4 linked regions of the Anolis sagrei genome follow. The protein of the gene in region 1 interacts with the protein of each later gene in a biochemical or structural test. Links are inferred from orthologs where the notes say so. Each region holds a gene or a part of one and is shown in the gene's direction. Other genes may lie near its edges.

Evidence for each region.
Region 2: of the proteins of EP300 (region 1) and AKT1, one has a biochemical effect on the other in vitro, tested with the Homo sapiens proteins (3 studies listed by BioGRID, with this or other methods). The link is inferred for Anolis sagrei from reciprocal best matches to the Homo sapiens genes EP300 and AKT1.
Region 3: of the proteins of EP300 (region 1) and histone H2A type 1-E, one has a biochemical effect on the other in vitro, tested with the Homo sapiens proteins (8 studies listed by BioGRID, with this or other methods). The link is inferred for Anolis sagrei from reciprocal best matches to the Homo sapiens genes EP300 and H2AC4.
Region 4: the proteins of EP300 (region 1) and PTMA form a complex in vitro, tested with the Homo sapiens proteins (2 studies listed by BioGRID). The link is inferred for Anolis sagrei from reciprocal best matches to the Homo sapiens genes EP300 and PTMA.

What each region holds. Positions count from the first base shown.
Region 1 is NC_090025.1:161,827,740-161,834,753, reverse strand, and holds the start of EP300 (histone acetyltransferase p300), read left to right. Parts: upstream 1-3,982; 5' UTR 3,983-5,596; coding exon 5,597-5,690; intron 5,691-7,014. UniProt on the Homo sapiens protein: Functions as a histone acetyltransferase and regulates transcription via chromatin remodeling. Acetylates all four core histones in nucleosomes. Histone acetylation gives an epigenetic tag for transcriptional activation.
Region 2 is NC_090021.1:328,325,231-328,332,207, forward strand, and holds the start of AKT1 (RAC-alpha serine/threonine-protein kinase), read left to right. Parts: upstream 1-3,957; 5' UTR 3,958-4,328; intron 4,329-6,977. UniProt on the Homo sapiens protein: AKT1 is one of 3 closely related serine/threonine-protein kinases (AKT1, AKT2 and AKT3) called the AKT kinase, and which regulate many processes including metabolism, proliferation, cell survival, growth and angiogenesis.
Region 3 is NC_090026.1:11,267,478-11,273,616, forward strand, and holds histone H2A type 1-E, read left to right. Parts: upstream 1-4,857; 5' UTR 4,858-4,948; coding exon 4,949-5,338; 3' UTR 5,339-5,638; downstream 5,639-6,139. Other genes in the region: histone H2B 5-like, read right to left, coding at 4,146-4,526. UniProt on the Homo sapiens protein: Core component of nucleosome. Nucleosomes wrap and compact DNA into chromatin, limiting DNA accessibility to the cellular machineries which require DNA as a template.
Region 4 is NC_090023.1:266,613,928-266,620,788, forward strand, and holds the start of PTMA (prothymosin alpha), read left to right. Parts: upstream 1-3,850; 5' UTR 3,851-4,157; coding exon 4,158-4,211; intron 4,212-6,861.

The sequences.
Region 1 (7,014 bases):
ACTAAAGAGTGATGTCATATAACACAGGGTTAGAGGAATTTTGAACGTCACAGGTTTTGTACTATAGTTACCATAATATTTTACATTTGACTATGTTTGAGAGGACTTCTTAGAGTTACATTCAAAGCTATTTGAGAGTGAATGTGTCCATACCTGTTACAAAATGCACAGTCAGCCCTCTGCATTCACTGGGAGCCCTTCCACACAGCCATATAACCCAGAATATCAAGGCAAAATATCTGGAATATATGGCAGCATGGACTCAGATAACTCAGTTCAAAGCAGATATTGTGGGATTTCCTGCCTTGATAATCTGAGTTATATGACTCTGTGGAAGGGCCCTGGGACTGGGGACACAGAACCTCCATGAAAGTGAAACACTTAAAATAAAAACGTTGCTATTTTGGTTGTTTCTTATCTATTGGTATTATATAAATCTTAATAAACACAAAAACCCAACTTTTTAAATGTGAGAGAACAGTTTTCTGTGATTTATAGATGCTGGAAGCTGATTATCAAATTGCATTGAAGGGCCATTCCTAGGGCCCTTCCACACAGCCCTGTAGTAATTCTGTAGAATTACTGACAGTGGGTTCATTGCAATGATGAACATTATTATTATTATTATTATTATTATTATTATTATTATTTGTCGTGTCAGGAGTGACTGCAAGTTGCCCCTGGTGTGAGAGAATTGGCCGTCTGCAAGGATGTTGCCCAGGGGACACCTGGATGATTTTGATGTTTTTATCATCCTTGTGGGAGGCTTCTCTCATGTCCCCGCATGAGGAGCTGGAGCTGATAGAGGGAGCTCATCCGCCTCTCCCCGGATTTGAACCTGCGACCTGTCGGTCTTCAGTCCTGCCGGCACAGGGGTTTAACCCACTGCGCCACTGGGAGCTCCATTATTATTATTATTATTATTATTATTATTATTATTATTATTTGAAACAAGCGGAGTCCACAGCAGACAAGATCACTCTGCTGGCTGTTGAATTGGGTCACACGTGTCCAAGTGTCTAGGACTGTGTGATGTATCGGCGAATGATGCGTGCAGATCCCAGTAAGGTGGCCTTCTGCAGCTGGCAGATGGTAATTTTGTCAGTGCTGATTGTGTTTAAGTGCAGGCCAAGGTCTTTAGACACTGCACCCAGTGTGCCGATCACCACTGGGACCACCTTGACAGGCTTGTGCCACAGTCTTTGCAGTTTGATCTTTAAATCCTCATATCGTGTCGGCTTTTCCAGTTGTTTCTCTTCAATCCTGCTGTCACCTGGGATTCAACATCGACAATCCATACTTTGTTTTTTAACACAATCGTGAGGTCAGGAGTATTATTATTATTATTATTATTATTATTATTTTACTGACACAAAAGCACAGTATGTCACAGCAAACAAGATCTATATGCTGGATTTCATATCAAAAAATCACAAGTCGAACACTTCCCAAGCGTTTAGGACTGTGTGATGTATTTTCAAATTATGTGTGCAGATCTAAGTAAGTGGCATTTTGCAGTTGATAGATCGCGATTTTGTCCATGTTTATTGTTACCAAATTGTTTGGCACGGCACCCAGTGTGCTGATGACCACTGGGACCACCTGTACTGGTTTATGCCAGAGCATTTGCAGTTCAATTTTGAGGTCCTTATAACAGCCAAGTTTTTCCTGTTGTTTTTCCTCAGTGCAGCTGTCATCCGCTATGGCGACATCAATAATCCAAACTTTTTTCTTTTCCACAATCGTGATGTCTGGTGTATTGTGTTCCAAAACTTTGTCAGTCTGGATTCGAAAGTCCCACAGTATTTGTGTGTATTCATTTTCCACTACTTTTGCAGGTTTATGATCCCACCAGCTCTTCACTACTGGCAGGTGGTACTTGTGACATAAGTTCCAATGAATCATTTGGGCCACAGAGTTGTGCCTCTGTTTGTAGTCCATCTGTGCGATTTTCTTGCAACAGCTGAGGACATGATCAATGGTTTCATCCACTTCATAGCACAGTCTGCATTTTGGGTCATCAGCTGATTTTTCAATCCTGGCCTTAATGGCATTTGTTCTGATGGCTTGCTCCTGGGCTGCAAGAACCAGGCCTTCTGTCTCCTTCTTCAGGGTTCCATTCGTGAGCCATAAGCAGGTCTTCTCCTTATCCACTTTTCCTTCAATTTTGTCAAGGAAATGCCCATGCAATGCTTTGTTGTGCCAGCTGTCAGCTCTGGTTTGGAGTGCAGTTATCTTGTACTGATTCTTTGTCTGCTGTGCTTTGAGAAGTTTCTGATTATTGACTTCAATTAAAGCAGGTTCTTGGCTTTCCTTTACATATTCTGCCAGGACGTGTTTTTCTTCTTTGACTTGTAGAAGTCCTCTGCCCCCAGACTTTCTAGGCAGATAGAGCTGATCAACATCACTGCGAGGATGTAGTGAATTACAGTCATGAATTTTCTTGTTTTTCTGTCCAAATTGTCCAGTTCTGTGTCCAGTTTATGATGCCAGCAGTATATCTTATGACAGGTATGGCCCAGGTATTTTTGGCCTTGATGGTGTTGCCTCCATTGAGCTTGCTTTTGAGAATTTTTCAGACCTTTTGAATGTATTCTTGGCTGACCACAGTTTTCACATGTTCATGTTTGATAGTAATAATAATAATAATAATAATTAGAAACACAACAAGATGAGTCCACAGCAGACAAGATCACTCTGCTGGTTGTTGTACTGGATCACACGTCAGACACTTCCTAAGTGTTTAGGACTGTTGTTATTATTATGGTTGTTATTGTTGTAGATGGGGCCCTGGTATGGTGACATCAATAATCCAAACTTTTTTTATTTTCCACAATCGTGATGTCTGGTGTCTTGTGTTCCAAAACTTTGTCAGTCTGGATTCGAAAGTCCCACAGTGTTTTTACGTGTTCATTTCTCACATTTGTGTGTTCATTTTTACAACAGGCCCATCATGAACCTTTGCAGGTTCATGATCCCACCAGTTCTTTACTGCTGGTAGGTGGTATTTGTGACATTATTATTATTGTTGTTGTAGATGGGGCCCTGCAAACCGCCTCTTCTTCGCCTCTGAGGCTGAGCAGAGAAAATGGGGTTCTCTAATTCTAAGTGTGGGGGAAATGTGTTGCTGTGTGTGTTCCGGAGAAACTAGTCTACACAGGAAGAACAGGGCGTTCTTGCCGCCTGGACATACTCTGGTTTCCTGGTGATCGCGGAAGAGAGGGCGACTCTCTGCTTCGTGTTGAGTGCCAGACAGCAGGTGTGGTGGGGCGGCCTTGGGCGGCGTCACACACTCTCGGCCTCAGTCGGGACCGGCCCGAAGGCCAAGCATGGAGGCCGGGACACCTTGGGCTGCCAGGCCGCCTTCTGTTATCCCAGAAGGGAGAGGCCTGGGTCCTGGCAGGGAAAGCAGGGCGAGAATGGCGTAAGAGGGGAAGGAGGCCTTTGCCCCTCCGCCCTCAGGCTGCGCCGTGATTTATGATTCTTACGATGGCCAGTGTATAGGCAGAGCACACAATCTGGATAATATCCCTACGTGTGTGTGTATATCTAGATCTATACGGGGCCTCGCTCTCTCTCTCTCTCTCTGCGGTCCCTGCGGCGGGGCCTCCTCCCAGCCTGCCTCACTCTCCTCCTTCCCTCCCCCCTCCCTCCTTTTACAACAGGCCTATCCTTAAAATCTCAACCTGGCGGCTGATTTTGGCCGACGGAAAAAAAGGCGGAGGAAGGGAGAAGGGGAAGAGATGTGCGCGTGCGCGCGCCCTCCCCTTTAAATCGCCGAGCAGGGTTTTTTGTTTTTTTTTTGCGGAAGGGGGAGCGCGCGAGCGGAGTGGCCTAAACCCTCGCCTCGTGACCGCAGCCGGCTCGGGCTCGAGCTCGGGCCCCGCCCCGCGCGCGTTCCATTGTGTGCGCGAGCCTGCGTGCCGTCCCCGCCCCTTTTGCCCCTCCCTTCCTTCCCTCCTCTTTGGCCACGCCCCCCCTTTCCCCCCTCTTGGCTCATTTCCGGCCGCGGCTGCTTGGCTTCCCTCGGAGGAATCGGGAGAGAGAGAGAGAGAGTGAAGAAACAACAGCCGCCATTTTGTTTGTGTGTGTGAGAAGAGAGAAGAGAGCGCGACTGGCTCCAGGGAAGAGAGGGAAGAGAGAGGACGGAGAAAGAGAGACAGAGACAGAGAGAGAAGGGGGACCGGGGAGAGAAGGAAGGGAAAGAAAGGAGGAAGGAAGGCAACGACGGCTGAGTGAGATCCGGGCACTCCTCGGTTCAGGGAAGAGTCGAGGCCAGCCGAGAGCGTCGCCGACCCGTCTTGCTCCCGGCCTGGGCTTGGGACCCCACCCACAGCGCCGAAGGAGGAGGGCTTGGGGCCTGTGGCCTGGCTCCGCGCCTCCTCCATTCCCTCCCTCCATGGCGGGCAGGAGACGGAGCCCTCCGAGTAGCAGCAGAAACGCCTGAGGCACCACCACCGCCGCCGCCTCGGCTCCGGAGCCCCGTCTCCCTCCGCCTCCTCCTGGCTCTCCATTAGCCAGTCGCCCTCCTTCTTTCCGGGGAGGGGAAAAGAGGCAGCGAGAGGGAGAGCGAGAGAGGGAGGGGGAGGGGCCGTCCTAGCTTCCTCCTCCTCCTCTGGGATCGATCCCTCCGCCTGACCAGAAGGGGGGTACCCTGCCACAGAGAGAGAGAGAGAGAGAGAAAGGAAGGAAAGGTAGAGGAGGAAGAGAAGAGGAAGAAGAGCCCTCCTCCCTCTCTCCTTCCCTCCTTCCCTCCCTCCATCGGGACAACAACCCCCTCCTCCTTGTTCCTGCACAACAAGATGTGAAGCGGGGACTCCTGGGACTTCTCTGCTGCTGCTGCTGCTGCTTCATCCTCCTTTCCTGCAGCCATTGGTAGTGACTGACTGGCCGGCCAGGGAGGCGGCGGTAGGGGGAGCCGGGGACCCCCTTTTCCTTCTCCTCCCTCTCCACCTGGGGGCCATCTCGTCGGCGGGGAAGCGGGGACGGTTCTCCTTCGCCTTTTCCTCCCCCCCGCTCCTCCTCCTTCGCCCGCCGCCTCCTTGTGGCGATGAGGAGGAGGAGGACGACGCCGAGGAGGAAGAGGTTGATGGCGGCGGAGAAGAGGCAGCAGGAGGAGGAGAAGAAGAAGGAGGAGGCGACCACGACGACGGCGTTGGCTTCCACGGCGACCCCCCCGAGGAGGATGGCGATGAAGATGGTGGCGTTGGCGGCCGCGAGGAAGCCCCAACAGCCCCGCAGCCGGATTTGAGCCGGCTTGGGGAACCCATCAAGTCCTGCTCCCTTGTTGTTACTCTTTTTGATCCTCTGTGGCATCCAGAGAAAAAAGACTGCTTCTGCTGCTGCTGCTTCTTCCACACCCTGTTTCTTCATCTCTGTTTTCTCCCCTCTTAGTCGCTGCTGCTACCCAACGGAGACAGATCCCGAGGGGCATTAAAAGAAAGAAAAAAGAGGAACTTTGTTCTTTTCTTCTTCTTCTTCTTCTCGTATTTGTTGTTGTTCACTTGATTCCTGATCCGAGGAGGTGGCTTTTGCGGCACTGGAGATCGATCCCCGTCTTCAATTTGGGCTCTGTTTGTCTAAAAAAGAATTAAAAATGGCCGAGAATGTGGTGGAGTCGGGCCCGCCTTCAGCCAAGAGGCCTAAACTCTCCTCACCGGCTCTCTCTGTCTCTGCAAGCGATGGCACAGGTCAGTTTTGGGGAGAGATACCCCTCGTTTTCCCTCACTGCACTCTGGGAGCCTTCTCTTCCCTCTTGGGCTCCTTTTGCTCCCATGTAGTCTCTCCTCTTGCTCTTCTATGAACCCACTTTTACACTTGGCTGCATTAATCAGTTGTGGGGTTTCAGTGCTGTTGCCTTTCATATCGTTGAAGAGGCTGAAAGCCAGTCTATACTGGCTGGTTTACCTGTGTGGCCATTTGCTGTCTTGAAGGCTCCGTTAACATTGTCTCTTAGTATTTGCACAATGCCTTGTACTACAGTATATACCTGGCATGGGCAAACTTTGGCCCTCTACTACATCCACACTATGGTATATACCAGGCATGGGCAAACATTGGCCTGCCAGGTGTTTTGGACTTTAACTCCTACAATTTCTAACAGCCAGTAGGCTGTTAGAAATTGTGGGAGTTGAAGTCCAAAACAATCTAGAGGACCAAAGTTTGCCTATGCCTGGTATATATCATAGTGTGGATCTATACTGGCTGGTTTACCTGTTTGGCCATTTTTCTCTTTAGTATTTCTATAATGCCTTGTGCTACAGTATATACCAGGTATGTGCAAACTTTGGCCCTTCATGTGTTTTGACTTCAACTCCTACAATTCCTAACTGCCAGTGGGCTGTTAGGAATTGTGGGAGTTGATGTCCAAAACACCTGGAGGGCCAAAGTTTGCCCATGCCTGGTATATATCATAGTGTGGTTTACCTGTGTGGCCATTTGTTGTCTTGAAACCTCTGTTAACACTGTCTCTTAGTATTTGTACAATGCCTTGTGCTACAGTATATACCAGGCATGGGCAAACTTTGGCCCTCCAGGTGTTTTGGACATCAACTCCCACAATTGTGAAATTGTGGGAGTTGATGTCCAAAACACCTGGAGGGTCAAAATTTGCCCATGCCTGGTATATATCATAGTGTGGATGTATGTTCATTTTCTCATGTAACAGGGCATTCAGTGCCAGCCTTCCTTACTCCTTAATGTTATCAATATTCTGATTTGAACCATTGCTTGTTTCATTTCCACTAAATGGAATGTAGCCAATGTAGATGAATAGTGTTCATATTGGCATTTTTGTCAAAGCAGTTTCACCAGATTTGCATTGAAAACAACATGGATTCTCTTCTTAAACTGCATGTTTGTTTCTTTGTGAGTCCAAAATGTCTGAAATTCCGATAGTCTTGCTACGTTTATGAGGACATGGACAAATCATCTAGCTGTCTTTCCTATATTTTAATGATGGGTTTATTGATGGGCCTGTGAGTTTGGATGGAAAGAACTGAAACTTGGAATTAT
Region 2 (6,977 bases), on another chromosome or scaffold:
GTTTAAAAGGTTTGAGGACCCCTGTTCTAGACCAATGCTTCTTAAACTGTGGGTCCTGATCCCAACTAAATGGGGTGATGAAAAATGTGGCAACAGTAAAAGGTTTCTGAATGCCACCTAGTGGCTGTTTTAGACATTTACACAGATTGGTTGTGCAGAGTTTGCAGTGGACTCTGCGGAAGATGCTTCAACCAAAGTAAGTAAAAAAACAAATAAATAAAAGTATCACAATAAAAACAATTTATTTATTTATTTATTTACTTTGCTTCTATACCGCTGTTCTCAGCCCGAAGGCGACTCACAACGGTTCACAAGACACAGGACACAGCAGAATTCAAACACCAATATAAACAATTAATACCCTAATCTAATACACAATACACGATTACTATGATAACCATTCACTAGCGTCTCGTCACTAAAAACATGATCCAAATGTGTTATCCATTGTTCCATTCCTATGTCATTACCAGTCTTGCACTAATTATTCGAACGCCTGCACAAATAACCAGGTCTTTACTTTTTTGCGGAAGACCATTAGAGATGGTGCTAATCTAATATCTGTGGGAAGGGCGCTCCACAGCCGGGGGGCCACCACCGAGAAGGCTCTGTCTCTCGTCCCCGCCAGCCGTGCTTGTGAAGCTGGCGGGATCGAGAGCAGGGCCTCCCTGGAAGATCTCAAAGTCCTGGTGGGTTCATAGGCCGAGATGCGGTCGGAAAGGTAGCTTGGGCCGGAACCGTTTAGGGCTTTAAAGGTCAACACCAGCACTTTGAATTGAGCCCGGTAGCAAGTCGGCAGCCAGTGGAGTTGGCGCAATAATAATAACAGATAAAAGTATAATAAAATAAAAATATAATAAATATAAAAATAATAGTGTCACAATTAAAATAATTTTTAAAATCGTTGTTGTTGTTTATTCGTTCAGTCACCTCTGACTCTTTGTGACCTCATGGACCAGCCCACGCCAGAGCTCCCTGATGGCTGTGGCCACCCCCAGCTCCTTCAAGGTCAAGCCAGTCACATAAAATAATATAATGTAATAAAAATAATTGCATTGTGTCATGTTTGCTATCTGCAGCTTTGAGTCCGTAAATTGGGAGCAAGGCTGGACAATATCAAAGTATGTAAGTCAATCAATGAAAACAAGCATAATAATAAAAATAAGAAGGATAATAATAAAAAATAAAAAGTATAAAATAAAGATTAAAAATGAAAGTATCCTAAGACTAACTATAAGAATATTTTTAAATTAAAAAATCAAACAGATACTCAGTATAAAACATTATAATAAAACTAAATGCATTTGTATAAAAATAAGAAAAATGAAAAAGTATAAATAAAAAAACAAAATATAAAATATAACAAAACCAAAAGTATTTTATCAATAGAAAAAATGAAATTTAATGTACTGGAATAAAAATGAAAGCAGTATAAAGATAAAAATAAAGATATAATAAAACAAAGGTATTTCAATTATAAAACCAAAAACAACATGAAGATCAAAATGAAAGCATTCTAATATAATAATAATAATAATAATAATAATAGTAATAATACCTTTATTTGTAGACTGCCCTCTCTCCCTGAAGGGATTCAGGGAGGTTTCCACCATATATGGCAAACACTGAATGCCAATAAAAAGACATAAAAACAAATTACATCAAAACAGGATACATCAAACAATATAAGACAGCGTAACTATAAACTTAATACTAAATAAAAATTGACCAAAAATAAAACTTAAATAACTTAAAACTTAAATAAGTATCATCATAAAAATAAGAGTATTATTAAATGAAAGACAAAAACAAAAGATAATAAATAAAATATTATCATAAAAATAAAATTATTCCAATAAAAATAAGAACAATGAAAATAAAAAGATTATAAAGTTAATAAAATAAAAGTACCCTAATATCCCAATATAAAAGTATCCTAATATAGAAGTATCATAAAAGAAAAAAGAAAAGAAAAACTAAACATAATAAACAAAAATTATAATAAGCATAAAAGTATTCCAATAACAATAAGAAGAACAAAGAAAATATTATAAAATCAAAAATAAAGCTTAAAAAGTACCCTAACATATAAGCATCATAATAAAAATAAAAGCATTACAAAATCTCAGACAGAATAAAAACTAAATATAATAAATAATAAAAAATATTACCATAAAAGCAAAAAATGACTTAACACATTATCCATAAATTACCAATAATTGTGCATTGTAATTGCTTATTGGTAATTTATGGATAATGTGTTAAGTCAATTGTTATATGTTGTATGGAATCACTGCTGTTTCTACTGTTTTTACTGTTTGTGAACCGCCGTGAGTCGCCTTCGGGCTTGAGATACAGCGGTATATAAGCAAAGTAAATAAATAAATAAATAAATAAAAGTGTTACAAATAACAACAGGAAGAACAATGAAAACAAAAGTATTCAGAAGTAAAGATAAAAGTATCCTAACAGAAAAGTATTTCGTTGTTGTTGTTTATTCACCCAGTCGCTTCCAACTCTTCGTGACCTCACGGACCGGCCCACGCCAGAGCTCCCTGTCGGCTGTCACCACCCCCAGCTCCTTCAGAGTCAAGCCAGTCCCTTCAAGGATACCATTATTTGTATATTTATTAACTTTATTTGTATACCGCTCTTCTCAGCCCTTAGGCGATTCAGAGCGGTTTACAACAATTTAGGTATTTGTTGTTGTTCATTCGTTCAGTCGCCTCCGACTCTTCGTGACCTCATGGACCAGCCCACGCCAGAGCTCCCTGTCGGCCGTCACCACCCCCAGCTCCTTCAGAGTCAAGTCAGTCACTTCAAGGATGCCATTCATCCATCTTGCCCTTGGTCGGCCCCTCTTCCTTTTGCCTTCCACTTTCCCCAGCATAATTGTCTTCTCTAGGCTTTGCTGTCTCCTCATGATGTGGCACAATACAAAATCATTAAGCATTTAAAAGCAATAGCATCACAAATCATTAAACATCAATATCAATACATCACTACATCAATATAACAAATCCATCAGGTCTCCTCAATGAAATCAGAATCCAAACTCGTTATCCGATATTCCGTGTTCCGATAGTCAGTCAATCAATCACAGTGCTTAGTTGAATGCCTGTTCAAACAGCCAGGTCTTTACTTTCCTCTGGAATGCCAGCAAGGAGGGGGTCGATCTAATATCTGCAGGAAGGGCGTTCCACAGCCGAGGGGCCACCACTGAGAAGGCCCTGTCTCTCGTCCCCGCCAGGCGTGCTTGTGAAGCCGGCGGGGACGTTTTGCTGTTGTAATTTTTGCGTTTTTTTTTTAAATACTCAATCAAAGGATTGTAATTTTTTAAAAAAAAAGATGGGGAAAAAAGAGGAGGAAAAAAAATGAAAGTATGGTAATAAAAAAATTAGCATCCTAATATAAAGGTATTTAGAAAATAATAAAATAAAATAAACCTAAATATAAAATATTCTTAAAAGTGTTTTTTAAAAAGTGAAAATAAGAAAAACGAAAGGATTGTAATAAAAAAAAGTTGGGGAAAAAAGAAAAATAAGAAAAAACAAAGGTATTGTAATAAAAAATAGTATCCTAATATCAAAGTATTGAAAAAAATCATAAAATACAAAACTAAATCTAACATATTCTTAAATGAGGGTGTTTTTTTTAAAAAATGTGAAAATAAGCAAAATGAAAGGATTGTAATTTTAAAAAGATGGGAAAAAGAGAAAAATAAGAAAAATAAGTATTGTAATAAAAAATTAGTATCCTAATATAAAAGTATTTAGAAAATAATAAAATAAAAAAACTAAATATAAAATATTCTTCAAAGCGGTTTGTTTTTGTTTTTTTTTAAGTGAAAATAAGAAAAATGAAAGGATTGTAATTAAAAAACAAAAAAGGATGGGAATAAGAGGAGGAAAGAACAGGCGGGCGTTAGGACCGCGCGGACGCCGTCGGGGGGCGGGTGGAAGAGGGAGACACGCAGACACACTCACCCAGGGCGCGAGTGAGTCAAAGGAGGGAAGCGGGAGGAACTGGGATCCGCCGCAGGAGCCAAGGCGGCAGAGGCAACAAGAAGGAGGAGAAGAGCGGCAGCAGCAGCAGCAGAGACCCGCAGCGCGCGCCGCCTGCCTGCTTCCTTTGCTGCCTCCCTCTCTTGGCTGCTCTGCTCTGCTTTCCATGGGCTGATCCCTCGCGCCGGAGCCGCAACTGCAGCAGCAGCAGAAGGAAAGGACGAAGAGGAGGAGGAGGAGGAGGTTGCAGCCCTTCCTTCCTTCCTTCCCTCCTTCCTTCGTTCCTAGGCCTCAGCTCCTCTTCTCCTCCTCCCTCGGCGGCATGTAAGTGGGCCCGGGCCTCCCTCCCTCCCTCCCTCGGGGTGATTCCTTTGGCTCCCTCCCTTCCTATTTTGGTGTCCCTTTGGTGCATTCATTGTCCAGGAGGAGGGCTGGATGCAAAGCTTCGGGGGAAAGGCCTAGATGCTTGGAGATGGGTGTGTACACACACACACACACACACAGACACAGAGGCATGCTTTTCTATATATATATATGCATGCACCTTTAGACACAAACATGCATGCACATGCATACACACAAGGCATCTCTCTCTCTCTCTCTCTGTGTATATACTCTCACAAAAACAATGCACAAGCATGCATAGATCTGTACACACATGCATGCACGTATACACAATGCATATATATCTCTGTAAATATATATACTCACACAAACACACAATGCACAAGCATGCATAAATCTATACACATGCATACACACAATGCATCTCTATATATATACTCACAAACACCATGCATGCACATACATCTCTCTCTGTATATATATATATATACTCACACAAACACACAATGCACAAGCATGCATAGATCTATACACGTGCATGCACATACATACACACAATGCATTTCTCTGTATGTATATATATATATACACACTCAAACACAATGCACAAGCATGCATAGATCTATACACACATGCATGCACATACATATACACAATGCATATCTCTCTCTCTGTAAATAATATATACTCACACACAATGCACAAACATGCATAAATCTGTACACGTGCATGCACATACATACATACACACAATGCATCTCTATATATATACTCACAAACACCATGCACATGCATGCACATACATCTCTCTGTATATATATATATACTCACACAAACACACAATGCACAAGCATGCATAGATCTATACACAGATGCATGCACATACATATACACAATGCATCTCTCTCTCTCTGTAAATAATATATACTCACACACAATGCACAAGCATGCATAAATCTGTACACATGCATGCACATACATACATACACACAATGCATCTCTATATATATACTCACAAACACCATGCACATGCATGCACATACATCTCTCTGTATATATATATACTCACACAAACACACAATGCACAAGCATGCATAGATCTATACACAGATGCATGCACATACATACAATGCATCTCTCTCTGTATATATATACTCACACAAACACAATGCACAAGCATTCATAGATCTATACACACATGCATGCACATATACACAATGCATCTCTCTCTGATATATATATATATATACTCACACAAACACAATGCACAAGCATGCATAGATCTATACACACATGCAAGCACATACATACAATGCATCTCTCTCTGATATATATATACTCACACAAAAACAGAATGCACAAGCATGCATAGATCTATACACTCGGGCATGCACATAGATACAATGCATCTCTCTATATATATATACTCACAAACACAGTGCACACCCATTGTATGCACATGTCTTTAGGCATAAGCTATATACACATGCATGCATGCGCATAGATACAAACAATAGACACATACACAATGCATATATACTCAGAAAACAAAACACACACAATGCACGCACATTGTATGCATATGCCTTGAAATACAAGCTATATGTGCATGCATGCACATAGATACAAATAATGCGCACATACACTACACATGCATTGTATGCACATGCCTTTGGATACAAACGTGCATAAATCTATACACACAATGCATATATACTCAGAATGCAAACACACAATGCACATGCATTGTATTCACATTACTCACATGCCTTTGGACACAAACATGCATACATCTATACATATAATGCATATATATAGACTCATAATGCACACACATTGTATGCACATGCCTTTAGACACAAACATACATGGATATATACACACATGCATACATGCACATAGATACACACAATGCATATATTATATATACTCACACAAACACAATGCACATGCATTGTATTCACATACATTTAGACACATACATGCATACATCTACAGTATATATATATAATGTATATCTCTCTTACACACAATGCACACACATTTTATGCACACGACTTTAGACACAAACATGCATGGATCTATACACACATGCATGCACATAAACACAATGCATATATCAACATACATATTCTCACACAATGCACACACATTGTATGTACATGCCTTTAGACACAAACATACATAGAACTATACACACATGCATACATCCACATAGATACACACAATGCATATATATATATACTCACACAAACACAATGCACATGCATTGTATTCACATACTTTTAGACACAAACATGCATACATCTACAGTATACATATAATGCATATCTCTCTCACACACAATGCACACACATTTTATGCACACGACTTTAGACACAAACATTCATGGATCTATACACACATGCATGCACATAAACAATGCATATATATATATATTCACACAAACACAATGCACATGCATTGTATGTGCATGTCTTTAGACACAAACATGCATAGATCTATACATACAATGCGCGTGCGCACACACACATATATATCTCACACATGCATTGTATACACATGCATTATTTCTTTATTTATATACCACTTTTCTCCCATGGGCATACAGTAGTTGGAAGCAACAAA
Region 3 (6,139 bases), on another chromosome or scaffold:
CCTCTCACATATTTATATATGGCTATCATATCTCCTCTCAGCCTTCTCTTCTGAAGGCTAAACATGCCCAGCTCCTTAAGCCACTCCTCATAGGGCTTGTTCTCCAGACCCTTGATCCTTTTAGTCGCCCTCCTCTGGACACATTCCAGCTTGAAATGCAAGAGGGCGCCAAATTATCAGAAATCAGACCAGAAATCAGAATTAGTTTTGGTATGTAAAAGTAATCAGATTATGCAAAAGGAAAAAAAAATATAACGCTGGGATTTATTTGCCCCAACTGGAGCACACTCATTCATTCAAGTCCTAGCCACAGCGTTCATGTTACTGTATGGTGAATCAACACAAAGGTAAATCCCATTGAGTGGATCTATTCTGCACAGGACTAACAACTAGATTTGGGCCACGATGAAAGCACAAAATTATTATTTTTATTATTATTACTACCTCTGAGGATGCTTGCCATAGATGTAAGTGAAATTTCAGGAGAGAATGCCTCTAGACCATGGCCATATAGCCCGAAAAAACCTACAACAACCCATTATTATTAATAATAATAATAATAATAATAATAATGTTATTCTTATACCCCACCACCATCTCCCCAAAGGGACTCAGGGTGGCTTACATATGGGACAAAATGCCCACAGACATAGATACAAAACAATTTGTCAAAGAAAAACACAATTAAAATAAAGACATAGTATAAAACAGCAATGTTAAAACTCAATTGAAAGTACGCGGAACAATGGCTTCAAACTACAGGAAAGGAGATTCCACCTGAACATGAGGAAGAACTTCCTGACTGTGAGAGCCGTTCAGCAGTGGAACTCTCTGCCCCGGAGTGTGGTGGAGACTCCTCCTTCGGAGGCTTTTAAACAGAGACTGGGTGGTCATCTGTTGGGGGTGCTTTGAATGTGATTTTCTTACTCCTTGGCAGAATGGGGTTGGACTGGATGGCCCACGAGGTCTCTTCCATCTCTAGCATTCTATGATTCCATGATTCTAAAACAATACTCAACAATTGCCAGTAGTACAGTGGGTGTGGCCATGCTATAAAAGGGCTACACATGGTATTGTGCAAGCAGTGTATCATAATTCTGAGTATTGGATGAAGTGCAGAGAACAAAATATTATTAGGGAACCTAGGGACTGGGCATTTAAAACTAGGGACTAGGCATTCTCAAATGCAAACTGAAACATCCAGGTTTTAAAATCTCTGTGAAAGGATGCTTGCCTAATCTCTCTTGGGAGGGAGTTCCAAAGTTGGGGGTCACCACTGAAAAGGCCTTCTCCCTCGTCCCCACCAACTGTGCTTGTGACAGTGGTGGAATCAAGAGGAGGGCCTCCCTGGCAAATCTTAGAGCCCACACCAGTTCATAGGGGGAGATGCGGTCATGAAGATAGGCAGGACCAGAGCTGCTTAAGGCTTTATAGATCATAACCTGCACTTTGAAATGGGACTGGAAACATATCAGCAGCCAGTGGAGTTGGTTTAGTAGGGGTGTCATGTACTCTCTATAATTAGCTCCAGTTAGAAGTCTAGCTGCTGACCTTTGTACCAATTGCAGCCCCAAATGCAATTCAAATGCAGTCTCACATAGAGTGCATTACAGTAGTCCAATCTGGATGTAACTAAGGCATGGTCCACCGTAGCCAAGTCCAACTTCTTGAGGTACAGTCGCAGCTGGCACATAAGCTTTAACTGTGCAAAGGTCCTCCCAGCTACTGCCAATACCTGAGTTTCAAGAGTCAGCGATTAATCGAAGAGGACTCCCAGACTATGGACCAGTGTCCTCTGGGGGAGTGTAATGTCATCAAGCACAGGTTGCCATCCTATACCCCAATTGGTCTCATGAATGACCAGGAGGACCTCTATCTTGTCTGGATTAAGCTTCAGCTTGTTATCGCCCATCCAGTTCATCACAGCTCTGAGGCACTGGTTCAGGATCTGGCTGGCTTCCTTGGAATTAGGTGGAAAGGAGTAGTAGAGTTGAGTGTCATTTTCATACAGATGCACTGAACTCTGAAACTCTGGATGACCTCACCCAGTGGTTTCATATAGATGTTACGAAGCATGGGTGATAGAATGGAGCCTTGCGGGACCCCACAGGTCAATGGCCAGGGGTCCAAGCAGGTGTCCCCTAGCTTCACCAACTGGGTGCGATCCTCCAGGAAGGAGTGGAGCCACTGCAAAGCAATGCCCCCAAGACTTATTCCAGAGAGCTGCCCTAGAAGGATACCATGGTCGATGGTTTCAAAAGCCGCTGAGATGTCCAAGAGAACCAACAGGGACACACTCCCCTTGTCTAGTTCTCTATGGAGGTCATCCACCAAGGCGACCAAAGCTGTCTCTGTATTGTGCCCAAGCCTAAAAACAGACTGTGATGAATCAAGATAATCATTTTCATCCAACAATCCCTGGAGCGGAGGAGCTGAGAAGGGCTCCTATTGTCACAATCTGCAATTGAACTAACAAACTAGATTGTAGGACCTTCTGTGCTGCACTATAAAGTTCCAGGTTAGGTACCCTGGAGTCCAAGGCACAAGTCAAATGTCTCTTTAGTATTAAAAAGTTGATTTATTTATTTTCAGTTCAACTGGAGAAGCTTTTAAGAGGAGCTTGAAGACGTGGTTGTTCCAGTGTGCCTTCCCAGAATAATGATTCCATAGCACTTTGTCCTCTAAAGCATTTTATATATTTAGGTCTGCTCTATCACTGCCCTATCACTTTTTCATCCATATCCAGCTTTATTTTTAATCTTTTAATTTAATTACATTTGGCCTACCCATAGTTTTTAAAGTGTGTTGTCCTATTGATATTGTATGTGTTATTGGTTTACTGTTTTGTTATTTTAAATTGCTTGTATTGTTATTGCTTGTTGTATTTTGGGCTTGGCCTCATGTAAGCTGCACTGAGTCCCTTGGGGAGATGGTAGGTAAAGGTAAAGGTAGTCCCCTGACATCAAGTCCAGTCATGTCTGACTCTGGGGTGTGGTGCTCATCTCAATTTCTAAGCCGAAGAGCTGACGTTCTCCATAGACACCTCCAAGGTCATGTGGCCGGCATGACTGCATGTAGCGCCGTTACCTTCCCGCCGGAGCGGTACCTATTGATCTACTCACATTCGCATGTTTTCGAACTGCTAGGTTGGCAGAAGCTAGGGCTGATAGCAGAAGCTCACACCGCTCCCTGAAATCGAACCTGCAACCTGTAACATTGGCTACTGTTTTGGGGGTTCAGTTGATACACTTATATATTATTACACAAGTAATAAAAATTGCAATGAACTTACAAAGTTTGGCATTCTATTTCCCAGGAAAATATAAAGTTGGCTACTGTTATTGAGGCTTAATTGATGCACTTTTACATTGTTAAAAAGGACAAGGTAAAGGTAGTCCCCTGACATTAAGTCCAATCATGTCTGACTCTGGGGTGTGGTGCTCATCTCAATTTCTAAGCCGAAGAGTCAGCGTTGTCCATAGACACCTGCAAGGTCATGTGGCCAGCATGACTGCATGGAGTGCCATTACCTTCCAGCCGGAGCAGTACCTATTGATCTACTCACATTTGCATGTTTTCAAACTGCTAGGTTGGCAGAAGCTAGGGCTGACAGCGGAAGCTCACGCCGTTCCCTGGAATCAAACCTGCGACCTTTCGATCAACAAGCTCAGCAGCTCAGTGCTTTAACCCACTGATGGTAGCGGGGTATAAATAAATTATTATTATTATTATTATTATTATTATTATTATTAAGGTTATCACTGGAGCAATCCTGAGAATTTTACTTTAGTGAAGCAAAGTTCTATTTGTCAGAGCAGACCTTGCAGAACTACAAACCGCAGAGCCCCATAACATACAGACATGACAGTTCAATTAGTGTTAAAACTACTTTACTTTTACAGCATTGTTGCCACCCCAAACTGGTATTCCTGGTATTGTTGGCCAAGGCAGCTGAGACTTCCGGGAGTTGGGGAGTCCAAAACATGAGTGCTAGATGAACCCTTTAGTGTTCGATTAATAGAATACCTGAAAGTTTCTAAAAGGAATATCCCAAGTTGCAAGAAATGCAATGGCAACTCTTTTGTTGAGAAAGTGGGTGGCTCTTAAAAGAGCCTTTGGGTCTGTTTAGGGACTCCATTGGGAGTTTACTTGGAGCTGGTGTACTTGGTGACAGCCTTTGTGCCCTCCGAGACGGCGTGCTTGGCCAGCTCCCCGGGAAGCAGGAGGCGGACGGCGGTCTGGATCTCGCGAGAAGTGATGGTGGAGCGCTTGTTGTAGTGCGCCAGGCGGGAGGCCTCACCAGCGATGCGCTCGAAGATGTCATTGACGAAGGAGTTCATGATGCTCATGGCCTTGGAGGAGATGCCGGTGTCCGGGTGGACCTGCTTCAGCACCTTGTAGACATAGATGGAGTAGCTCTCCTTGCGGCTCTTTCTGCGCTTCTTGTCTCCCTTCTTCTGGGTCTTGGTCACTGCTTTCTTCGACCCCTTCTTGGCTGCAGGCGCTGACTTTGCTGGCTCTGGCATTGTCAAACTCTCTCTGCGACACACTCACAACAGCAAAGAATTTCAAAGAACTAACCAGCCGACTCTGAGCGCTCTGTATTTATACAACGTCTATGCTAATTAGTAGCTCAGAATTCGCTGTTTCCCATTGGCTGGGGAGAGCGCGTCTCCTATTGGGCGGTTAGAACCACTATGCAAATGAAGGAATTCTTCCATTGTGATTCTATTGGGGGGATATAAAATGCCGCGTTCCTATTGGGCAGAAGAGTAGCCGTGTTTTCTATTGGTTAGATGAACTCAAAAGGAAACAGGCAGCCAATCGGAATTCGCAATTACGAGCCGCAGGAGTGAATAAAAGGCAAGGAAGAGCATTTTCTCTCCATCCGTTTCATTTCAAGAGTAGTTTCTCTTCTTCGAAAGGTTCTTCTCTGAAAGCTTAAATCATGTCTGGACGCGGCAAGCAAGGAGGCAAAGCCAGAGCCAAGGCGAAGACTCGCTCTTCCAGAGCCGGGCTGCAGTTCCCCGTGGGCCGTGTGCACCGTCTCCTCCGGAAGGGCAACTACGCCGAGCGGGTGGGAGCCGGGGCGCCGGTCTACCTGGCGGCAGTGCTGGAGTACCTGACGGCTGAGATCCTGGAATTGGCGGGAAACGCGGCCCGGGACAACAAGAAGACCCGCATCATCCCTCGCCACTTGCAGCTGGCCATCCGCAACGACGAGGAGCTCAACAAGCTGCTGGGCAGAGTCACCATCGCCCAGGGAGGCGTCCTGCCCAACATCCAGGCCGTGCTCCTCCCCAAGAAGACCGAGAGCCACAAGGCCAAAGGGAAGTAAACAAAGCCCTCTTGGTCTCCAGGAGAAAAAAACAGAACCCAAAGGCTCTTTTAAGAGCCACCCACACATTCAGAAAAAGAACTTGATCACTTGGAAACAATTTGCAATCTCCTCCAGGAAATATTGTATCATCCAAGCCCTGATACTAATGGGGGAAATAAAGTGCCAAGCTTTGTAAGTTCGTTACAATTTTTTTCACTTGTGTAACAATGTAAATGTAAAAGTATCAATTAAACCTCAATAACAGTAGCCAACTTTATATTTTCCTGGGAAATAGAATGCCAAACTTTGTAAGTTCATTGCAATTTTTTCACTTCTGTAACAATGTAAATATAAAAATGTATCAATTAAGTTTCAATAACAGTAGCCAACTGTACATTTTCCTGGGAAATAGAGTGCCAAACTTTGTAAGTTCATTGCATTTTTTTCACTTATGTAACAATGTAAAAGTATCAATTAAGCTTCAATAACAGTAGCCAACTTTATATTTTCCTGGGAAATAGAATGCCAAACTTTGTAAGTTCATTGCAATTTTTATTACTTGTGTAATAATACGCAAGTATATCAACTGAGCCCGAATTGTTGTTGTTGTTCATTCGTTCAGTCGTCTCAGACTCTTCGTGACCTCATGGACCAGCCCATGCCAGAGCTTCCTGTCGGCTGTCACCACCCCCAGCTCCTTCAAGGTCAGTCCAGTCACTTCAAGGATGCCATCCATCCATCTTGCCCTTGGTCGGCCCCTCTTCCTTTTGCCTTCCACTTTCCCCAGCATCATTGTCTTCTCTAGGCTTTGCTGTCTCC
Region 4 (6,861 bases), on another chromosome or scaffold:
TATATGTGATTTCTAATCTATATAATATAATATATAATATTAAATAACTATTAAATATTATATATATAAATAAATAATATATTTATTATATATGTAATTTTAAGATGGAACATATTAAATGTAACACTAAAGAAATATATTAAATATTACATTTATATAAATAATATATTTATTATATATGTGATTTATCATCTATATAATGTAATATATAACATTAAATAAATATATTAAAAATTATATATATAAATAAATAATATATTTATTATATATGTAATTTTAATATATAATTTTAACATGGAACATATTAAATATAATACAAATATTATTTATTAGACAATATAATAATATAAATCTATATAATGTAATAAATAACATTTTAAATAAATATATTAAATATTATTTATATATAAATAAATAATATATTAATAAATATATTAAATATTACATTTATACATATAAATATATTTATTATATATGCAATTTTAATATACAATTTTAAGATGGAACATTAAATATAGTACAAATATTATTTATTAGACAATATAATAATTCTAATCTATATAATATAATATATAACATATTAAATAAGTATATTAAATATAAATGTAATGTATACAATACATAATACTGTGTATTATATATATACATATACATATATATATATATAGGCATATAATATGTACAGTGTAGAGTATATATGTATATTTATTATATATATAATTTTAATCATATATATATATATATATATATATATATATATGCATGCATAATGCATATAATCCATAATGTATGTATTATACAGGGTTAGTCAAAATGAATAGGCCAAAAAAGACATTGCCTATTGGCTTATTGGCCTATTCATTTTGACTAACCCTGTATATGTGTGTGTGTGTGTATTATATAGAAAACCTGGACAAAACCCAACATTGCTCGAATTTCCTTGCTTTTTCCCGCCCAAAACCCAGCCAGCATCTGAGAATTTCCCGCCCCCTTCTTATTTTATTTCTATTTTTTGCAAAGTGGAGTTTTGGAGTTTGCGTGCAAAGCGTCTGCTTTTGTTTTGCTTTACAAAAAAAAAAAAAGTGGTGAAATCTTCCCCGCCATGACAACCAAAAACGTTTCGGCAGTGTCTATGGCAGCGAAGACAAATGATCCCCCGGCTTGCAAAATACACGCAAGTCCCCAAACACGCAAAACGGCGCGTTCACACGTGCAGGATGCGTGCAAATGCTTCCCCGCGGCCGCAGGAGGGCGCGCGCGGCTTGCCCGCGCCCCCTTTCTCGGAAAGGAAACACGCAAAGGGAGGTTGCTGTGACCGGCGTTTGTCCCGCGTCGAAACCGCGTTAGACACGTGTATGCTCCCTTTTAGCATCCCATGCCACCCAATGCAAAGCTTTTGACTCTTTTTTGCAACTTCATGGGGAGTCCAAATGCCCTCTTTTGCGACCCCCATATAATATATTTTATTTATTTATTATAGATTTGCCCCCCAATGCCCCCCTTTTGCAACCTCCCATATCCCCCAATGCTCAGGAAATGCCCCTTTTTTGCAACCCTAATTGACAACTGGGTTGGGATATATAATATATTTTATTAATTAATTATATATTTGCCCCCTTTTGCAACCCCCATATAACTTATTTTATTATACAGGGTTAGTCAAAATGAATAGGCCAATAAGAAAATTAATTGTACCCGAATTGGCCTATTCATTTTGACTAACCCTGTATATTTGCACCCAATGCCCCTCTTTTGCAACCTCCCATTTTTCCCAATGCCCAGGAATGGGGGGGGGGGGTGTGCCCCTTTTTTGCAACCCCAATCAACATCTGGGTAGGAATAGGGTGTGTACAAATGCCCCCTTTTCCTGGGCATTGAGGGATATGGGAAAAGGGGGCATGCACTCATCCTTTGCCCGTTGGGGTGCTTATGGGGGGTTGCAATAGAGTGCATAGGTTGCAAAAGGGGGCAGATGCCCACACCCCATGCCTTAAGCGGGGTTGCAAAAGGGGGCATATGCACACACCCTATTCCTACCCAGATGTTGATTGGGGTTGCAAAAAAAGGGGCACACCCCTCATTCCTGGGCATTGGGGAAAATGGGAGGTTGCAAAAAGGGGCATTGGGGGCAAATATATAATAAATAAAATAAATTATATATTCCTACCCAGTTGTTACTTGGGGTTGCAAAAAAGTGGCACCCCCCCCCCATTCCTGGGCATTGGGGGATATGGGAGGTTGCAAAAGGGGGCACGCACTTATCCCTTTCCCATTGGGGAGGGGTGTTTATGGGGGGGGGGGTTGCAATAGAGTGCATAGGTTGCAAAAGGGGGCATATGCACACACCCTAATTCTACCCAGATGCTGATTGGGGTTGCAAAAAAAAGGGGCACGCCCCTCATTCCTGGGCATTGGGGGGTATGGGAGGTTGCAAAAGGGGGCATTGGGGGCAAATATATTATAAAAATAATAAAATATATCATATATTCCTACCCAGTTGTCAATTGGGGGTGCAAAAAAGGGGCACACCCTCATTTCTGGGCATTGGGGGATATGGGAGGTTGCAAAAGGGGGCATTGGGGGCAAATATATTATAAATATAATAAAATATATCATATAGTCCTACCCAGTTGTCAATTGGGGGTGCAAAAAAGGGGCACACCCTCATTTCTGGGCATTGGGGAAAATGGGAGGTTGCAAAAGGGGGCATGCACTCATCCTTTTCCCATTGGGGTGCTTATTGGGGGCATATGCACACACCCCATTCCTTATATGCCCCCTTTTGCAACCCTGCTTAAGGCATGGGTGTGTGTGCATATGTCCCCTTTTGCAACCTATGCACTCTATTGCAACTCCCCATAAGCAACCCAATGGGAAAGGGATGAGTGCCTGCCCCCTTTTGCAACCTCCCATATCCCCCAATGCCCAGGAATTGTGTGTGTGTGTGTGGGGTGTGCCACTTTTTTTTGCAACCCCAATCAACATTTTGCAACCCCAATCAAAAATGCCCCCTTTTGCAACCCCGCTTAAGGAATGGGGTATGGGCATATGCCCCCCTTTTGCAACCCCGCTTAAGGAATGGGGTATGGGCATATGCCCCCCTTTTGCAACCCCGCTTAAGGAATGGGGTATGGGCATATGCCCCCTTTTACAACCTTTGCACTCTATTGCAACCCCCCATAAGCACCCCAATGGGCAAAGGATGAGTGCATGCCCCCTTTTGCAACCTCTCATATCCCCCAATGCCCAGGAATGGGGGGGGGGTTTGCCCCTTTTTTGCGACCCCAATCCACAACTGGGTAGGAATAGGGTGTGTGCATATGCCCCCTTTTGCAACCTATGCACTCTATTGCAACCCCCCCATAAGCACCCCAATGGGCAAAGGATGAGTGCCTGCCCCCTTTTGCAACCTCCCATTTCCCCCAACGAGGAGTGCAGGGCATGCCCCTCTAAACGAACCCCAGATATACCCCGCAATGCGAAGGAGGAGGAAACTATGCCTGTTGTTTGTGTGTCTTGCAAAATAAATAAATAAATAAAAGGCCCTCTTTCCCCTCCTCCCTCCTTTTTTCCTCCCCCTCCCCCCTTTTCCCTCCCTTTGGCTGAGCAAAGGGAGGGAAATGGAAGGAGGGAGGAAAGAAGAGAAGAGGAGGAGGAGGAGGAGGAAGAGGAAAATTAGAAAGAAAGGAGGGGGGGAAAAAAAAAAGCTGCTGTATCACTTTAAGCAGCCCTTGCCCATTGTTCGCGCCTTAGCCAATCAGCGCGTTTCGAACTGCCCGGGACGGCCAATCAGGGGCGAGCGGGGCTGCCCTCGCGCCGCCCACTCTTCTATATTAAAGGCCCGGGCGCCGCGTGAGCCTTCCACTGGCTCCTTCCTAAAGCCATCTTTGCATTGTTCCTGCTGTTGCTCCTTTTGCAAGAAGAAGAATTTAAATATATATATAATTAAATAACTAAAATACTTTATATTATTATTATTATTGCAATCCTAGCGTTTGGATCTTTTTGACCTTTTTGCTGCTGCTGCTGGTGTGTGTTTTGGGTTTTGTTTTTGCAAAGAGGAGGGAAAGCAAGCAAGCAAGGACTATATATTTTTTTGAGCTCTCCACAGAGTTCTTTTCTCCCTCCATCTCTCTCTGTCTCACCTCCCACTCGCAATGTCAGACACAGCCGTGGACACCAGCTCTGAGATCTCCACCAAGGTAAGGAAGGTGGGAAATAGTATTATTATTATTATTATTGTGCATCCTTTTGCCTTTCTTTGCCTCCCCCCCGAGGACCGTCTTGCCTTCTTTCCGCCTCTTTCCTTTGTTTGCAGCGCTTCTTGCTTTGCAAAGGGACGCCGGGCTCCTGTTGCCTCCAGTCTTTGGGTAGAATAATAATTATAATATTATATATAATAATATAATAATAAAATGTAAATAAACACTTCGAAGGGACGGTCGGGTGCTTTTGCATTGCAGCAAGTGGGACTTTCTTCCCCTCGTGCTCCTGTTGCCTCCAGTCTTTGGAAGGGAAAACAAAATAATATGGAAGGGAAAATAATATTTAAGAATATGATAAAATGTAAATAAACCCTTTCTTCGAAGGGACGGTCGGGTGCAATTGCATTGCACCAAGTAGGACTTTCTTCCCCTCGTGCTTCTGTTGCCTCCAATCTTTGGAAGGGGAAATAATAAAATAATATATAATAATAATATTATTATAAAATGTAAATAAATCTTTTCTTCGAAGGGGCGGGCGGGTAGTTTTGCATTGCACTAAGTAGGACTTTCTTTCCCTCTTTTTTTTGCTTTCCCATGAATGCCAGTAATGTAAAAATATATTATAATAATAATATAAAATGTAAATAAACCTCCTTCGAAGGGGCGGTCGACTGCTTTTGCATTGCAGTTAGTAGGACTTTCCCTCGTGGTCCTGTTGCCTCCAGTCTTTGGAAGGGAAAATAATATAGAATAATAATTATTAATAAAATAAAATGTAAATAAACCTCTCCTTCGAAGGGGCGGTCGGGTACTTTTGTATTGCAACAAGCAGGACTTTTTCCCCTCCTTTTTTTTGCTTTGCCATGAGTGCCAGTAATATAAAAATATATAATAATAATATAAAATAAAAGTAAATAAGCCCTTTATTCGAAGGGGCGGCGGGTACTTTTGCATTGCACCAAGTAGGACTTTATTTCCCTCCTTTTTTTGCATTCCTGTAAATGCCAGTAATATAAAAATCTATAATAATAATATTATAAAATGTAAATAAATCCCTTTCTTCGAAGGGACGGTAGGATCCTTTTGCATTGCAGCAAGTAGGACTTTCTTTCCCTCCTTTTTTTGCTTTGCCATGAGTGCCATTTGCTTTGCAAAAAGCCCCTGGGCGGTTTATGGAGGGGGGGAAAAGAGAAGCAGCAGCAGTTCCCATTCAAAGCCGGTTTCGCGGAGTTTAGCAAACTTCCGACGGCTCTGTCTCTTTTCCAAAGAGAAAATTACAGAGTTAGAAGCAATCCAAGGTGTATTCCTGGAGTGTGACCCCCTTCTCTCCCCCTGAATCCGGATCCCAAAGTGGAGCGACTCCTTTGTGATGCCTTCCGAAGGTCTCCGGATCCTTTAATCCGGTTTTTCCAGCCATAATTGGACGGAAATAACTTTAAAACGACCCCCAAATGGGACCAAGACTGAAGTGTGGTTTGTTCTTTGAACAGGAAGCAAAAGAATCCCCCTTTCTAAACATGTTTTGCTTTGCTCTCCTTTGTTTTGCACCGTCGGGGAACCAGGAGGAGGGTCTTCCTTAATTCTCTCCTATTCCCAACCTTATTTCCTTCCCCATATTGTAGAGGAAGGGGCTTATTTATATCTTTCCCCCTCCCTCCAAAAGAAAACAATAGACGTTGGTTTCACCTTCGACGGGGAGGTCTGTTTTTGAACTGAGATGACCCTTATTTCTCTCCCCCCTCCCGTTTTGAGTGAAAAAAGTAACTTGGGAAAGAAAGGGGACAAATTTAGAGGGGTCTGGACCCATTTGCCTCGAAGGGGAGGGCGAAGAAAAGAGAAGGAAGAGGAGGGAGGTTGGTTGTTTCCTTGCTGAAAATCAAAGGCTGTTTTCCTCTTTGGAACCGGTTTGCAATGTAGACTAACCCCCCTCCCCTTTGAATCTTCCCTTGTAACCAAATGTTGGAGACCCCCCCCCCCCCCAATCTCCAATTACCCTTGGGATTGCAATGAATGCATTCACCCTCGACGGGGAGACAAACCAATGCTATACATACATTACATACTCATTTGCTCCAATCCTAATCATCCTACACACTTTCCCATAAATTTAAGTCTCTTTCAACCCCCCCCCTCCCAAAAATGATTGGCATCCTCGACGGGGCGGGCCCAAGGTCAACCGACATGAAAAAGAAGGGTATATTTGAGTAGCTATCCCTTTAAGAGGCTGGTTGCCCCCCTTTTCCCTCCTACCATCATCTCTCTGCCTTTTCTCTCTCCCCCCCCCCCCTTCCTACTAATTCAGATTAAGGCTTTTGAAGTGTAATTCGGATTAAGGGCATGCGCCTTCCCACCCCTTTAATCCGACTCATTGCATCCAAGGGAGTCTATTATTATTACTATTATTATATATATTTTTGGGGGACTATTATTATTATTATTATTATACAGGGTTAGTCAAAATGAATAGGCCAATTCGGGTACAATTAATATTCTTATTGGCCTATTCATTTTGACTAACCCTGTATATGTATTTATTTATTGGGGGGAAAGGGGGTCACAGAGAGGGCAGGTCACAACCTTGGAAAATCCGGATGTAGGAAAATTATTTTTTTTTAGGTAGGAAACAGAGAGCCCCCATTGGCTTTTTATAATAATA